Linked DNA regions of Arabidopsis thaliana. The protein of the gene in region 1 purifies or fractionates together with the protein of each later gene. This does not show direct contact. Each region holds a gene or a part of one and is shown on either strand. Other genes may lie near its edges.

Region 1 (8,432 bases):
TTCTCTTCCTTTTCCTAAGTTTTTCAAAGCAGAATCATCAGTTCTCATAAAGATCAACAAATCTTGTCTCTTTGTAAAAAGTAACTATACTAATCCCAAATCAATACAAGGAAAAAGGATAATATAAAGTAGTGTAAAAGCTAATGACTTTAACTAAGAGTTTAACCTTAAATTACGCCATTAAATATTAAACTAAAGCAAAAGAAACAGTATCTCTACGGTTGGTGAGCCTTTGATGAAAATAGAACTGACCAAGACTGCGAGAAAAACATGAAGTTGAAGCTTCGTATGATTTCTTGGGAGACCAGATGTTGTTATGTACACTGAGAATCTTCTTCTCATCGACGCCATGAACAACACACGAGAGAAGGAAAAGAAAAACAAGTAGCAAAGGAGCAAGTGAAAGATTCAATGTTGCTTTCTTGAACATTTTCGTAAGGAGGATTCTCTTCAGAGGAAATTAAAGAAGAGGCGAGAGAGAAGAGAGGAGAGAAAGAGAGATTCTTGGGAAGTTTGGAGGTAGTGAAGAGAACAAAAGAGGAGAGGCTGGCGAGAAGTGGCAAATGAACAAAAAAGATTGGACCCCACTATGTGTGCATGAGATCAAATTATTGGGGATTCACGTGAATTACTGCAATTTTGTTACCAAATTACTAAAAACTTGCAATGTCTTTTGGTTGTTTTTTTAGTATATGTTAATTTTCTTTTGTTACAAAAATAAAATTCAACGTGAGATGGTGGTGCTACTGATGTTAAGTGTTGGCCGCTAGTGCTAAAATTCTCACCATTTTATTTTAATCTTTGATGTTATTATACAGATTTTTTAAAATCTATAAACGTTTGAAATTGATAGCAGTGATTAAGGAAATTTGTATGTATCAACAATAGCTTGAATAATGATTAGATTTAAGCATAACTAAAAACAAGGCATTGTCTCTTTTTTTTTTTTTTCTGTTTTTATATTTTTTTTCAGCCAATCACAAATCAACACAACTGATTTTAGCAATTAACATTTTAAAACTTAATAAAATTTCCATATCAAGATATTTATAAGAGAAAAAAATTAATAGACATACAAAGAGAAAATGTAATTTTAAAAGAAAAAAAAAATCATATGAAAAGAAGAAAAATGCAAAATTTTGTTATTAAAATATATATTATTATCCATATTATTAGGAAAGGAAAATATTAAATCTATATTCGAAGTCCACATGTGATTGGTCATTTCAGTAATTGACATTTTAAATTTTTATAAAATCTCTACATTAAGATACTTATAAAAAGCAAATAACTAAATAAATAAATAATAAATGAAACAATAAGAATGTAAACTTGTTTAAAAATAATGTAAAAAACATATCGAAAGAAGAAAGTTGTAAATAAAATATATTCACATTGCAGAGCTTCCCAGTCAAACAAATCACAAATAAAACGTTACATTATTTAGTCAAAAACGGTTGCTTTTTTCCTCAATAGAAAACTCCCTCACGCGCCCAATTTTTTAATTTTACCAAAAACAGCCAAAAACGGTCCACAGATTTTGAGGAGGTGGCGTCGACGCGCTAATTGTGCGAGTGGGTAAGAATTTGAATTTCGCAGTTATGTTTTGGGCTGATTTTTATACTGCCCACTGGGCTACACAAGAGGAAACCCAGTTTCATATAATAATAGGCCCACCTAATAGAAAAAGCCCTTCGTAAAAGAAAACATAGTGGACCATAATAATTTCATTTGTACAAGAAATTTTGAAAATGTCATATTTTCGGGAACCTGTAAAATAACCACAATTGCAACACTGGGATCTACTACAGTACAAGATTTGCTCTAATCCATCCTAATTAATTACTGGTAGTAGAACCTGTATAATATTATTACAGATTCTAATCAGCTCTGGTAGAAAGACAGTGTAAGTAAGTATCTAAGAAGGCTTCTCTGTACAAGGAATTCTCTCAGGGATGTGTTCTCATGAACATAGCCACTGAAGATGAACGGAGCTGCCACATTAGATAGGATCAAAGTCGTAAATGGCCAATTCATTAATTATGGACGTGTACATGTAAAATCGTTTTTCAACTTCGCCAGCTATCCAAATCAAAATTTCTTTACTTGCCAAACTACAAAGCTGTGGTGGAGGCCATATTACGCTTTTAAATTAGCCTACAATAGCCTTGCAGGAAAACCATTGCAAAACCGATTCAATAGTTTGAGGTACACGAAACGTTCATTCAGAATAATCATCCTCATTACCATCACTATATTGATTGGCATCTTGTTCCGGCTCGTGTTTCCAAGATCTACCAAGGCCGCCTTCGTCCTCTAATCTTCTCATCTTGGAGCTCGAAGCACCAACCCTAGAAGAGTAAACCTACATCCAAAGCCCCAAAGTCCAAAGGAATTGGTAAGAGAACTAGAACTTTCCACGTGTTACTCTTTTAAAGGCTAAATGTATGGATTTACTATACCCCTGAATCTTTATGTTCTATCACTGATACAGTTGATCTCCGCCTTACAGTTACCCTTGAAGGTACTGGAAAGTGTTCAATCTCATCAGAAGATCTTCCTTCCCTGGCCCTTTTCTTCCTCAAGTTCAACCTCATGGGTAGGGGCTGCCAAATTCTCAACGGTCATCCCAAAGTATTATAGACAGAAGAAAAAAAAGATACACAACTGGAATATGTAACAAAAACCGATGCAATACCAGATAGCTAGCGGTCCCATTGTCAAATGATACCAGGTATGTGCCAGGATCGTTTGCATTGGGTTGTACCTGTTATAACATCAGGTGACATATTTATTTCAATCTGCAACTCAAACAATCAAAATTTCACTTAAACCACATTGGCTATAGTACATACATCCCAGAGGTATTCGCGAACCCAAGTGTAAGAGATTTCTTCGTTTTCATCATGGATATCCTTAGACAACTGGCACAGCAACATAAATTGATAACACATCAATCAAACTGAACTTTTCTTGACTTGTCAAAATTTGTGTAAAAGAGAGATCAGTTTATGGAGAGGCATGTCTACCTCATCCAAGGAAGGAACCATGTACGCCAGAAATTTTTCTGGATTGGCAGTGTCTGATCCAGCCACCACATAGCTTTTCAAAATGGCCTGTGGAGTATGAGGTCAGAGCTCGTCATCAATATGAAAATAAGGCAATCAACCATAGTTAAGATTCAGCCCCATATATCATATATCCTATCCTCATTCAAGTACACTTATGTAAGCAACAAAAACGATATAGTTGATACAGTCATCTTTTCTCTCAGGAACAAAGTATCCCTATGATAGAGACCAGAGATAATTGGACCATACTCATGGATATCGGTAACTCATAACTCACCCGTGACTCATGTGCATCACGAATTGAAGGGTCCAACTTGCCAAAGAATTCAGAATCAGCTATAGGAGCACCATCAAAATTCGCTACCACAAACTGCTCATCGTACCTGTGTCAAAAAAGGAAGGGGAGAGTCAAATGTAATAGCATAGTATGCTACAGGTTCAGTGAAAATTATTAGTGGATGTTTCATCCAAAAGGCAATACACTAAAACCCTAGCAAAGAAACATTTGAACAAGAGTTGGAGCAGAGAAAAGGGAAAAATTAAAGACCCAACATCTCTCTTAAGTGTTGTATAGTTAGACCTTAACAAGGCTGCCTATTTTCCCACCCGATTGATTACACTATCCTATAGGAAAACTATTCGTGCATGTTTCCGACCACAGGAGATCCTTCAGAGAGAGCCAACATAAAGATAATCTGTAAAGTGTCAGCTTTCAAGCTGTGTCTACATGTAGGACTATTATGAGAAAATTTTGCCTGATTCGGTATTTCAGATTTAAGATTGTCTGCAAGGGGAAATAAAGAGCATCCAACCTATCAAAATATGGCAACAGTGGTAGAACTTCAACCGGCTGCAAGTTTTTATTGGTGGCATGAACTGGTCGAGACTTGCATGCCTCAAAGGATGCTTCAATATCCTTGATTTGTCTCTCTCTAGAGACCAAAGAAAAATAAACCATTAGACCTTTTTTTTTCTCACTTTCCTTAGAAATACACATATTTGAGAAACAACACACCTATTGTTAAGATTGTGCAAGATGTTGATGCCTCCTTTCATCTCTCGCAGTTCCTTTGCTTGCTTCTCCGTTAGCGACTACACAAGGTAAACATAGGAAATTGGAAACTGTCTCTAGAAGCTATACATGGCAAAACAAATTTCCAACAAGCGAGATGGATAGATACCTGTCTTGCCGATTCGTTATTAATAGAAGAAATGTATTGTGTTTTGACGAGCCAAGACATGCCTTTATCAGTAGGTCTTTCTTTCCTCCGGATGCCATCTTTCTTAATAGGTGTAACAGCGTCATCATCACGCAAGAGTTCTTCATCTTCAGGGGCAAGAGGTGCCTTGACTTTGGGAGGGCTGAAAAGAGCTACAACAGTAAGTATCCCCAGTAGATGAGGTCGCTGGCATTAAAGACACTAAGACTTTATTGAGAGCACATACTTGTACACACTTAGGTCAAGCAGATCCAAGGGTATTCCAAGATCAGGCTCGACAAAGATTTTTGGTTTCCATAATTTCTCCAGGGATGTGATGGTATACTTTGTAAATCTAGTGGGATCAAAATAGCTGGCAAGTAAGGACAGTAGAATAACACAGAAATAAAATTTGGCAATAATAGAGAAACATACTGATCTTTATCCCGTTTAATGGTCATAAGCTTAAGCTGTGCACTAGGGTCAGGGAGCTCATTCCGGAACCTTGAAGAAGAAGATGAATATCAGAGTCTAACAATAATATGTAAAAAAGATTTAGGTAGTCGTTTGAAGAATACTGACTTGAGCTTGCAGATGAAGGTGGTTGGTTTCTTTAACCTATTCTCGACCCTGTCGGTGGTGAGTAGGGGCGTCGGCTTCTTCTCCTCGGTGTGTCCCTTGGGCATCTGAGACTTGTGAGAATTTTTCATCTGCTGTCTATGTTTTTCGTCTTGCCTTTGTTTCTCTAACTCCCTCTTCTTCCTAAGCCTCCTCTCTTCTTCGGTCTCGATTTTCTTAGAATGAGGAAGATGAGACCTGTGGTGGTGCTTCGATGGATCCGGTTTAGCACGCTCCCGCCTTCCAACCTGCTTGGAGGCCCCTTTCTCGTGGTCATTGGGACCCTGGTGTCGAGGAGGATCGGGAACGAGCGGAGGAGGAGCTGAGGGAGGTGGCGGAGGAGGAGGAGCTTGGAGCTGGTTGAATTGAGGATAGTGGGGCCCCTGCTGATAGTAAGCATGCGGAGGAGGAGGCGGCGGCGGAGGATATGAGTACGGTTGATGCGACGGTGGTGGGGGAGGAACAGGAGGGGGTAACGACGGCGGGGGAGGCGGAGGGGCCAAAGAATTTTGAGATGGTGGCTGAGGAAGAGGAGGATACGGCGGCCGGTACGACGCCATTCTCGGTGTACTTTGTGATCTGAATCACCTAAACCAACTAAAACGAGTCTTCTTGATATATATTAATTATATAGCTCCGGTCAGACTGATTTTTCCTTTTTACTTTAATTTGGGCCTCACTAGCGGCCCAATAACCGCTACTATCATATGGGTTCTGATAATTACGGCTTCAATACAAACAAAAACAATCTTAAGCTCACCGTTTTATGAATCCCAAATATGAACGAAACATGCTTTGTACCACCAAGCTCATCGACGTGTGACTGTGTGAGGAACACAAAATATTTATTTTCTACATTGATAATTACTCAAACATTATGTACAGTATAGCGAACCGAGGTGTGTGGTTAAACACTCAACACGCTGGACCAACTTATGAAAACCTCTTACCAGGACTTCACAAGCCGAAGATGTTATGGTCGTTGGCACTGAAAATAGCACCGCCAAACTGCCTGGTGTTCAAGTCGCCTCCATCAAGGGCGGTCCCAAAACGGTCAAGCCACTGGGCAGGACTGGGATTCTCTGCCTCTTCCACCCACTCCGACATCATGTCAATGTCCTCCAGGGCAATTGGGTCTGTCTCCAAGGTTATCATCCTCCCTAACTTTAGATTCTGATTCACGTACGCCAACTTGTTCAATATTTCTCTGTCAATCTTGTTTCGCCTTTCCCAGTGCATCTGCTGGAATGTGCTCCATTGGCGTTCCAAGTTGTAACCGCTGCAAACTTGGCTTAGTATTCTGATGGCCACCCGCTGCAAAACAGGTGCTGAGTCACCAAACTGCTCCCACCAGAGACCTGCATTACTAAGCAAACCATTATTAGACATCAACTTCTAGTCTTCTAGTGCTTCGTTACCAATTCTAAAGATCCCAGACCATACCCCTAATAGCCTGGTGAGGGGAAGATATCTACTAGTTTTGCAATTCGGTTTACTACGTGCCAGGCTATATCAACCTGGACTTATTTAGTTGTGTAATAAGACCATAGCTTTAATTGCGGTCATAGATAAGTGGATTATTTTTCTCCCGACTCAGACTACCTATACATCTCTGTTCACTAGTCATGACTTAAAGAAAATATAAATGTATTTATTGTCCATACCTGGTGAAACTGAATCCCTCGCCTCCATGGCCAGGTTACAGCCGAACATTCCCTTTGCCCTAGTGAAAGTGAATATCTGATTTGTAATATCACGCCGTAGATCGCTAGTAGGAAGAAGTTTCTCCAACACTTTGAAAAAATCTTCTTTCAAGGAAGTGAGGAACTTTATCTCTGGGTTATACTGAATACTGGGGTTCAAGAATGCTGCTGCTGCATGAAGAGGTGAATGCAAATGCTCACACCAGTTAGTATCAACTATGTCAGAAAAGACCTTATGCTTATTCTCATCCATGATGTAGTATGTCCGTATTGACTCCTTGGCCTTGGACATTAACTCGTATATAGAACCTACAGCGGGCTTTCCAGTAGAAACTTCCCTCAACACTTTCAGGATAGGCTCGGAAATAGCCACACTTTCTTCCACAGCTCTCCAGAAATCATTATCCTCTAGGATATTCACGCATGAAATGCTCTGTGGTTTGTTAGTATTTGTGGTATACTCTGGGCAATTGAACATGTGTTTTAGCCTTGCCTTTTGTTTCATCATTGACTGTAATGATAGAAAATTGGAGACAGACCTTGTGACACCGCTTCGGATAATATCTTGCCCGCCTGTTAACTTTCTCAATAAATCTAGCACGGGGCTATTGTTGTAGACAAACTTAGATATGACCTGCGCTTGCGATATACATTGATTGACCCAATCAACCTTGGAGAATTCTTCTAAGATGATGTTCAAACACTGAGATGCACAGGGGGAGACGAAAATGGTTGCATAGTTTTGCAAGAGATGGTTTGAGATACCAGTGTAGCAGAAGCTGTTGTCCATAATGATTTGCACAATATGCTCCTGACCAATATCTTGGATGACAGAATCAAAGAGATCAGCAAGGCATTTTGAGTTCTTGAAATATGAGGAGGCGTCGACAGACTTGTGAAAAAAGATTCTGGAAGGTGAAGAGACGGAGAAGTTAATCAGTGCTCGTGATTTGTTGTCGGTCCATGCCTCAGCGATGATAGTACAGCCGGTGGTGACCCACTCCTTTTCAGTGTCTTTCAGTTGTAAGCTAATATCTGACTTAACCCTGTCCAGCCATTCAGTCTTGGGAGAAGGAGCAACAAATCCAGGACCACACTTGGCAACGGCGTCGAGCATATGGTGATAAGAGGGTGAGCGGGCAACAGCGAAGTCAATCTTGTTCTCAAAGAAGAAGAGAGAAATACTCCTCTCTGCAATGTCCTGCGCATTAGGAGGAGAACTAGGAAAGACTAGTTTGGACGCAGGAGCATCAAACGGAGGAGATAAAGGTGGTGGAGGCTTGTACTTGTTGGTAATGGGGGGATCATCCTTGGCAGATAAAATGGAACGAACTCTATCAGTAACATCGTCCCTAACCTTGGCACATGGATTAACCCCTTTACTGGGAAGGCGAGAGAGATGATGCTTCAATCTACTAATGCCGCCATTAAGAACTCTAGAGCAAAACTTGCATTTAACCTTGTTACCATCTAGTTTCTCTGCGTATTCCCAGCAGATATCTTTTTCTCGTACCACTGTCTCACACAACAACAATCGAATTTTTCATCTCAATCATAGGAAAGAAAATAAATAGAGCTGCTACTTTACTTTACATTACTTACTTGGTGAATGATATATGATGTTGTTCTTCGTCAGCTTCCACCTGCCAACACACACAAAACCCTAGTAAGGAAATAAGAAATGTATGGAGGATTCTAGATTTCCTCTTGAGGATTGCCGGAATATGAGAAAGACACATGACGTAGCCACCGGTTCCCGGAGAGGAGAGAAACAGATTCGAAGATCTAATCGGAGAAGACCAAGTAGCAAGAAATCAAAGAGAATTTGGGATAAAGAAGAG
Region 2 (6,759 bases), about 26 Mb from region 1:
AACAACTCTTACCTTATAGGGAGTGATAGGACAAGCAATGTCGACGGTATCAGTGACATGGGGGGTGAAGAAATTAGGAGCTGTTTTCGTATCAGCAATTATGCCAATAGCTCTCATTTCGGCTAGTCTATTCGATTTCATAATCTTACACACTCCTTTATACCTCGGAAGGTACTCTCTTCTATCATCTCAATGAAATTAAATTCGTTTCTAAATAGCTTTATATATGTAAATGTATGTAGGTCCACGATCATAACACTAATTAAAAAATTTATTTTCTAACTTTTGCTACACAGTCTGATTGGATCAGTAGGGACAATAACAGGTCTCTACGTGTTCTTGTGGGGTAAGAACAAAGATATGGAAGCATAACTACATTGTCTTCTCTAATGAATAACGAAGACCAAAATTAAATATTAGTGTCGTATTATTGTTCTTAGTTTCAAAACCTCTGTTTCTTGGATTTTTTTTTTTTTTTGTGTGTGTGTTGCTTTTAAATGTATCAATGTGTTGCTAAAACAGTCTGAAAGGGTAATTTTATGTGATATGGACTGTAATTTTTCGAAAAGTTCACAAGTGCCATTGGTAAATGATATATAAACTAATAACATCGAGAGGCGCACTATATGAAAAATGGAGGAAGCCATGCCATGAAAGAACGTCGATGCATTCAAAATGAGATTTGAAATTCCTAATTAAAGTTAAGACCAGTTGTATTAGTGTTATGCAGAGTAGTATATTATTCTACTTGGATTAATTCACAGTAAAGAAGAGATATACATAATTCAAAGGCTTATTGTTATTTCAAAGCAAAACATGAAGAGGTCACCCAGTTAAGAAGAGATACATAATAAATTCAGAGGCTTATAACATGAAAAGGTATTCGACAATAGATGAAATGAAAAGAGAAGACAAAGAGTACATAAGAAAGCGCGCACACACAGACACAGACACAGACCAAATTAATAGTTAATCATTCACTTGGGAGGGCGAGTAGCGTGAACTATCCCGTTTTCCTTTAACAGCTTAGTCTCCAACTTCACGAGAGACACGAAAGCAGGCCAATTCTCGGTACGATTGTGCATTTGGTCGCAGTTTGGGTCTACTTTCTTCAAGTAGGAGTGAGCAGCAGCTATGCCGATAGTGTTACCAATGATATCCACAAAGAGTGCAACCTCAGAGGTAGAGAAACTCATCTCCTTTCTATGCATCCACATAAAGATCTAACAACAACCAAAAAAACAAACTTTCATAAATCCTAACACAATGATCTCTAACTAGAAAAGAAATAGAGCGATGAATACAAAAGTTAGATAGATGAGAAAGATACCTGGAGAGCATCTACATGTTTGCCTTCCATGTAAGCTGCTTTGCCGAGCTGACGAGATCCGCCTGGGTGACGGGAACACCCTTCTTCTCTTCCTCCGCGATGATGAATTCTAAGGTCTCTCGGGTAAGAGACCTCAGCTTCTTGAAAATACCACTCTTTGCATTCTCAGCATCACAAGAGGAAGCAGAAGAAGAAGCTCCGTTGATCTGCCTGTTCCCTTTGTTCTCAGCAGAAGAAGAAAACGGAGCCGTTCTCGCGATCTTAATCTCAGCAGAAGAAGAAGAAAACGGAGCCATTGTTCTCGTAAGCGTAGAGATCTTCATCTCTCTTTTCCATAGATGAAGAGAACCTGATGATACCATTCGGCGCAAGGCCAACATTTTCCAAACCCTAATTTTGATAACCCTAATTCTCTAATATATAAAACAATCAAGTTGCCTTGTTAAAATCAGGATATGATCTCTCTTATATTAGTAGGTTACTTACACAATTACCTACATCTTTGTCGATTTGTCAGTTTGACTTATGAATCAGTCTACTAGATTGTAAAAATAAATAAAACGATGAAATGTCTATAATACCCCTAACTCTACACACGTGTGAACTTTTTGAATAGTACTGGACCCGGGTCAACCACACACAGTAGACACGAGCCTTCTTCTTCTTCTCTAAGCGAGTGAAGTAAGCTTACCAGTGGCAGTGAGTGAGCTCTTACCAGTGTTTAGGGTCTTCTGCAATTTTCCTTGTTTTGATCGGGAGCTTGATCAAGACTACTGATGCTGAGATTTACGAAAATTGCCAACGGTCTCTATGTTCCCGGTGACAGTGAAGCTCTTTACGCTTCCAAGTTTCAAGACTCCACTGCTACTTTGACTTCGCCTATCTCGCTGGTACAAGGTCTGTGGAGGTTACAGTATGGGTGATAACCTTTTCCTTCTGCGAGGAAAGCATTGTCTCGGCTTTTACTTTTGTTCATAACTTGTGGATATTGGATAGTAAAGCCTACCACTAATGGCATAACATTCAGGATGCTTCTTGGTGTGCTATGATTTGTTATAAGCGAATCACTCTCGTTGGCTAAACACTTTGAGAAAATGACTCTTAAAATGCTCTCTTGGGCTATACTGGAAACTTGCTGTGTTCAGTGGATCTTCAGGTCCTTGTTGACAACCATTAACAAGCTTAAGGTAAGAATAAAGAAACCAACAATACTTTCAGTCCTTTGATGATTTATAATTCCATAACAGACTAAGGGCAGTGCATATAGATATCTTTCGTACTCATCTGCTTTTTCTGGTCTCCATCACAAAAGCCAACTAGGTAATCATATCAATCTCTCTTTACCGTTTACTCGACCTTTTCCAATCAGGTGCTTCTGGTGTGTCTACTACTATCAGTTTTAGGTCTTTGTATACCTGATCTTATCTGCTACTGAGGCTTGTAAAAGTGATTAAAACTGTGACATTTACTCTAAGAGAAGTAACCTGTTTGATGCATTTCCCTAATATACCGGTGTGGAAAAGTGTAGGTATCTGTACTCAGCTGAAATGGTGGACGATTTTGAAGAAGATGAACTCTCATTGACTGAAAGCGGGTTGAAGAGTGAAGATGGCGTTATTATCGAGATGAATGTCTCCTGGATGCTTTTATTATCATGTTTGGGAATTTACCAAGGGAGAGGTATCAGAATCTATCTTAGAAGGTTACATTTAGCTCAAGCTTGCATCAACATCTTTACTTAGAGCTCTACGGGTTTTAGTGTGTTTGAAGTTTCTTAACTCCTAGTATAATTAGAATCTTCTGCAGCAGACTTTAGAGTTTTGGGATGTAGAGCTAACCAGAGTCGGTTTGTTTAAACTAGAATCTTTTTATGTAGCAGACTTGTTCAGTACCTGAATACCAGTTTTAAATTACCGTCAGATGTTGATCTTGTTGGTAATAATGGAGAAACGGAAGAATAATTAGACGAAACAAACTCTTTAAGAACGTATCTTTCAGTTTTCCATCACAAATTTTCTTACAAGCTACAAAAATCGAACTATATATAACTGAACCGAATTTAAACCGGAGGGAGGGTTTGACTTTGGTCAATCACATTTCCAATGATACCGTCGTTTGGTTTGGGGAAGCCTCGTCGTACAAATACGACGTCGTTTAAGGAAAGCCCTCCTTAACCCCAGTTATAAGCTCAAAGTTGTACTTGACCTTTTTAAAGAAGCACGAAACGAAAAACCCTAAAATTCCCAAGCAGAGAAAGAGAGACAGAGCAAGTACAGATTTCAACTAGCTCAAGATGATCATCCCTGTTCGTTGCTTTACTTGTGGAAAGGTTGATATTTTCCCCTTCGCTTTGGTCTTATTTAGGGTTTTACTCCGTCTTTATAGGGTTTTAGTTACTCCAAATTTGGCTAAGAAGAGATCTTTACTCTCTGTATTTGACACGAATGTTTTTAATCGGTTGGATACATGTTGGGTCGATTAGAGAAATAAAGTATTGAGCTTTACTAAGCTTTCACCTTGTGATTGGTTTAGGTGATTGGAAACAAATGGGATCAGTATCTTGATCTTCTCCAGCTCGACTACACTGAAGGGTAAGCTTACAATGATTCTCACTTCTTGCTGCTCTAATCATCATACTTTGTGTCAAAAAGAGAGTAATTGCTTTGCGTTTTAGAGAAATTAGCCCAGATTTCGTATTGGGTCTGTGAAGTTTCATATTAGCTAACACACTTCTCTAATTGATAACAGAAGCTATAAAATAGATTTGCTGATGAAGGAGTTAGCTTTTTATAATCTTCTGTGTTTGTGTTTTACTGTCTGTGTCATTGGAAGAGACTATGTCCTGCCTATATAATCTCTATGTGCCTATCTAGATTTTCTATACAATTGATATTTGATAGAAGTAGAAAGTAAGACTTAAGGTCTTTTGATTAGACTTGTGCCCATCTACATGATTCTTATTGGACTAATCATTCTTTGTGTGAAAATAGAATACTTTGTCTGAACATGAGAGAATGGTTCATAATACGTGTGAAGTATGGGATTAGTTCAACAATTTCGCTATTGGAGAAGCAAACCAAGGGTTAATCGTTTATAGGGTTAAGCTAATGCTCTGCTCTTTATATGTTATTGGAACAGACTATTGTTGTGCCTATCTTGTTTAGTTGTAGATTCTATCTCGACTGTTATAAGTATGACTGAAGGCTTGATGACTTATGATTCTCTTTACACCTGTAGAAGGATTTAAGCTTGGTGTCTAGATATTCAATCTGTGTTGGTTTTGTCTTTCTTTTGGCTCTTAGTGTTGTTCAATCTCCTCAATAGGTATGAAGTTACAATATCCTTATTATTTTGCAGGGACGCACTTGATGCACTCCAGCTAGTCAGATACTGCTGCAGGCGTATGCTAATGACTCATGTTGATCTGATTGAGAAGCTTCTCAACTACAACAGTATACTCTCCAAACTCTTATCATATGTTGTGTATCTTTTGACTCGGACGTTATTGTCCTTTTCGATTTATTTACTGGTACCCACGTACTTTTCCTTGCAGCTCTGGAGAAATCAGACAACAGTTAGAAGAGGATGCAAATCTGCTGAAAAAGTTTTCCTCTTTAGAGGCTTAAATATTAGTATGTATGAAAACATTTGGTGTATGTGGTGTAGACCCTTCAACTCCATCTAAAATTATATATGTGTGTCAGTTACTTTCTCGTGTGATTCAATCTCATGATTTCCTGACCTTGAAGATTTCTCCTTTGGATTCATGTTTCATTAGTATTATTGAGGTGATTTTCATGGCCATAACTGAAAACCTTTGAGAAAAGAGTTAAAAGTCACTGGTCTTCATAACCTTTTGTATACAAAACGCAAGTACAACAGAATCGTCCAACTGTTTAGTGTGTTCAGGCTCGGGCAAGAGTTTTCAAATCTTCCAAACGAACGGTTAAAATAAAATGTATAACCAAAGAAGAATGAAGAACACAGTGTAATCATATCTGGCTTATGTAACCCGACCCCGTTCTTAAGGGAACATATCACATTCAAATCTCCAATAACGATCCCAAACCACATAAGATGTGTTATTAAGATCCAATTAATCGGGACTAAAACCAATTCGAGAGAACAAACGAACGATGACTCAGTACCCATTAATCTGTCTTCCTGTTGTTGTCGATCCTACCAACCGAGAGAAGGGTTGCTGCTGCGTTTGGTTGTTGCGGCTTTTGTTAAAACTGTTGCTGCTTCCAATTCCAGATTTAGGGTCAGAGAAAGGAGAATAGGCTTGAGCTAGCTCAAGAGCAGAAGCTGCTTTTCCGTGACGAATCCCTGTTCCATTTGGTGAATCCAGTTTCTGGGGAACCGGCTTTCGCCATGTCTCTGGTGATGGATGTCTTGTCTTCTCCTGAGTCTGCTGTTGCTGTCTTGCGCTCTTGTTTTCATTTTCACGCCAGTTTCTCCTCTGAGTTTCGGATCTGGCAATGTCGCTTACATTTCGCCCATCCTTTTGGTCGAATTTCCTCGTTCTCATGTCACGTGGAGAACTCACTGGCCTTTGACTTGCATGCTCTGGAACTCTTTCAATCGGTTTGAGGACCATCCTTTTGATATAAAAGAAAAAACAAAAACAGAACTTTAAATTAGATAGTTGGTCTCAATGGAATCGTAAGTGTTGGATCGCAGAAAGTATACACAGAATGTGAGTGGGTAGAGAAACCCGTTCTACCTATCTGTCGGTTGATCCAATTTGTGATGCTCGGGCTCATCAATGCCTCTCTCCTTCAACACCTGTCCAGGAAATCAAATGATGATAAACAAATGGACAACATAACAAGAGTGAGTTATACAACAAGATGAAACAAACTGCACTCACCAGCTCTCGTGGTCTGGCACCACCAAAAACCGCACTTCTGCACCAGCCAGTACAAATTTTAAGAACAATTCTTCTATATAACTATAGTTATGTCCCCAAGCTCCAAAATAATTATTACCGAGCTGGGACAAAAAAATGTAAGTACCACATTGTTACCTGTCCTTTTCAGTTTTAACTTCTGGCTGCTCAAGCAACTGTGCCACAGGCTTCAGATTCAACTTGGGCCGCTCAGCCGGCTGGTTAGGAATCTCATCTGTAGACAAACCAGATTTTGAATTGTTGAAACTTTTCTGTGTCGCATTTTCACGTTGTATAAGGACTGAAGCACTATTTTCCTGCAGATACAAAACTGAGGTATCAGAAACATAGTTGAGGAAAAAAGAAACCTGAAAACTAAAGTGGCAGTTCAGAAACTTGTAACAACTATACCAGTTTTTCGTCATTCACAGGTTTCTCCACACTTTCAAGTGGTTTTGTCCGAGGAAGCAGGTTCAGCTTAGGTCTTTCCACAACTTCAGAAGGGGCAGTTGGCTGCACCAAATGTCCAGCAGGCTTA

What was found. Proteins that work in one complex are often made in the same cells at the same time.
Region 2: the proteins of ELF7 (region 1) and NRPB10 fractionate together in Arabidopsis thaliana (co-fractionation; one large-scale study listed by BioGRID). This does not show direct contact.

What each region holds. Positions count from the first base shown.
Region 1 is NC_003070.9:29,998,522-30,006,953, forward strand, and holds ELF7 (hydroxyproline-rich glycoprotein family protein), read right to left. Parts: upstream 5,563-8,432; 5' UTR 5,449-5,562; coding exon 4,853-5,448; intron 4,775-4,852; coding exon 4,706-4,774; intron 4,626-4,705; coding exon 4,518-4,625; intron 4,434-4,517; coding exon 4,253-4,433; intron 4,164-4,252; coding exon 4,087-4,163; intron 4,004-4,086; coding exon 3,884-4,003; intron 3,455-3,883; coding exon 3,349-3,454; intron 3,117-3,348; coding exon 3,030-3,116; intron 2,925-3,029; coding exon 2,856-2,924; intron 2,768-2,855; coding exon 2,699-2,767; intron 2,607-2,698; coding exon 2,463-2,606; intron 2,366-2,462; coding exon 2,222-2,365; 3' UTR 2,017-2,221; downstream 1-2,016. Other genes in the region: AT1G79720 (Eukaryotic aspartyl protease family protein), read right to left, coding at 1-14, 253-430; AT1G79740 (hAT transposon superfamily), read right to left, coding at 5,846-6,246, 6,553-8,106, 8,194-8,194. UniProt on the Arabidopsis thaliana protein: Component of the PAF1 complex (PAF1C) which is involved in histone modifications such as methylation on histone H3 'Lys-4' (H3K4me3). Involved in regulation of flowering time.
Region 2 is NC_003070.9:3,858,897-3,865,655, forward strand, and holds NRPB10 (RNA polymerases N / 8 kDa subunit), read left to right. Parts: upstream 1-3,502; 5' UTR 3,503-3,623; coding exon 3,624-3,659; intron 3,660-3,862; coding exon 3,863-3,921; intron 3,922-4,687; coding exon 4,688-4,782; intron 4,783-4,883; coding exon 4,884-4,909; 3' UTR 4,910-5,178; downstream 5,179-6,759. Other genes in the region: UMAMIT26 (nodulin MtN21 /EamA-like transporter family protein), read left to right, coding at 20-171, 297-372; AT1G11470 (Pentatricopeptide repeat (PPR) superfamily protein), read right to left, coding at 978-1,223, 1,331-1,392, 1,482-1,626; AT1G11480 (eukaryotic translation initiation factor-like protein), read right to left, coding at 5,472-5,931, 6,057-6,118, 6,204-6,240, 6,360-6,538, 6,633-6,759. UniProt on the Arabidopsis thaliana protein: DNA-dependent RNA polymerase catalyzes the transcription of DNA into RNA using the four ribonucleoside triphosphates as substrates. Component of RNA polymerase II which synthesizes mRNA precursors and many functional non-coding RNAs.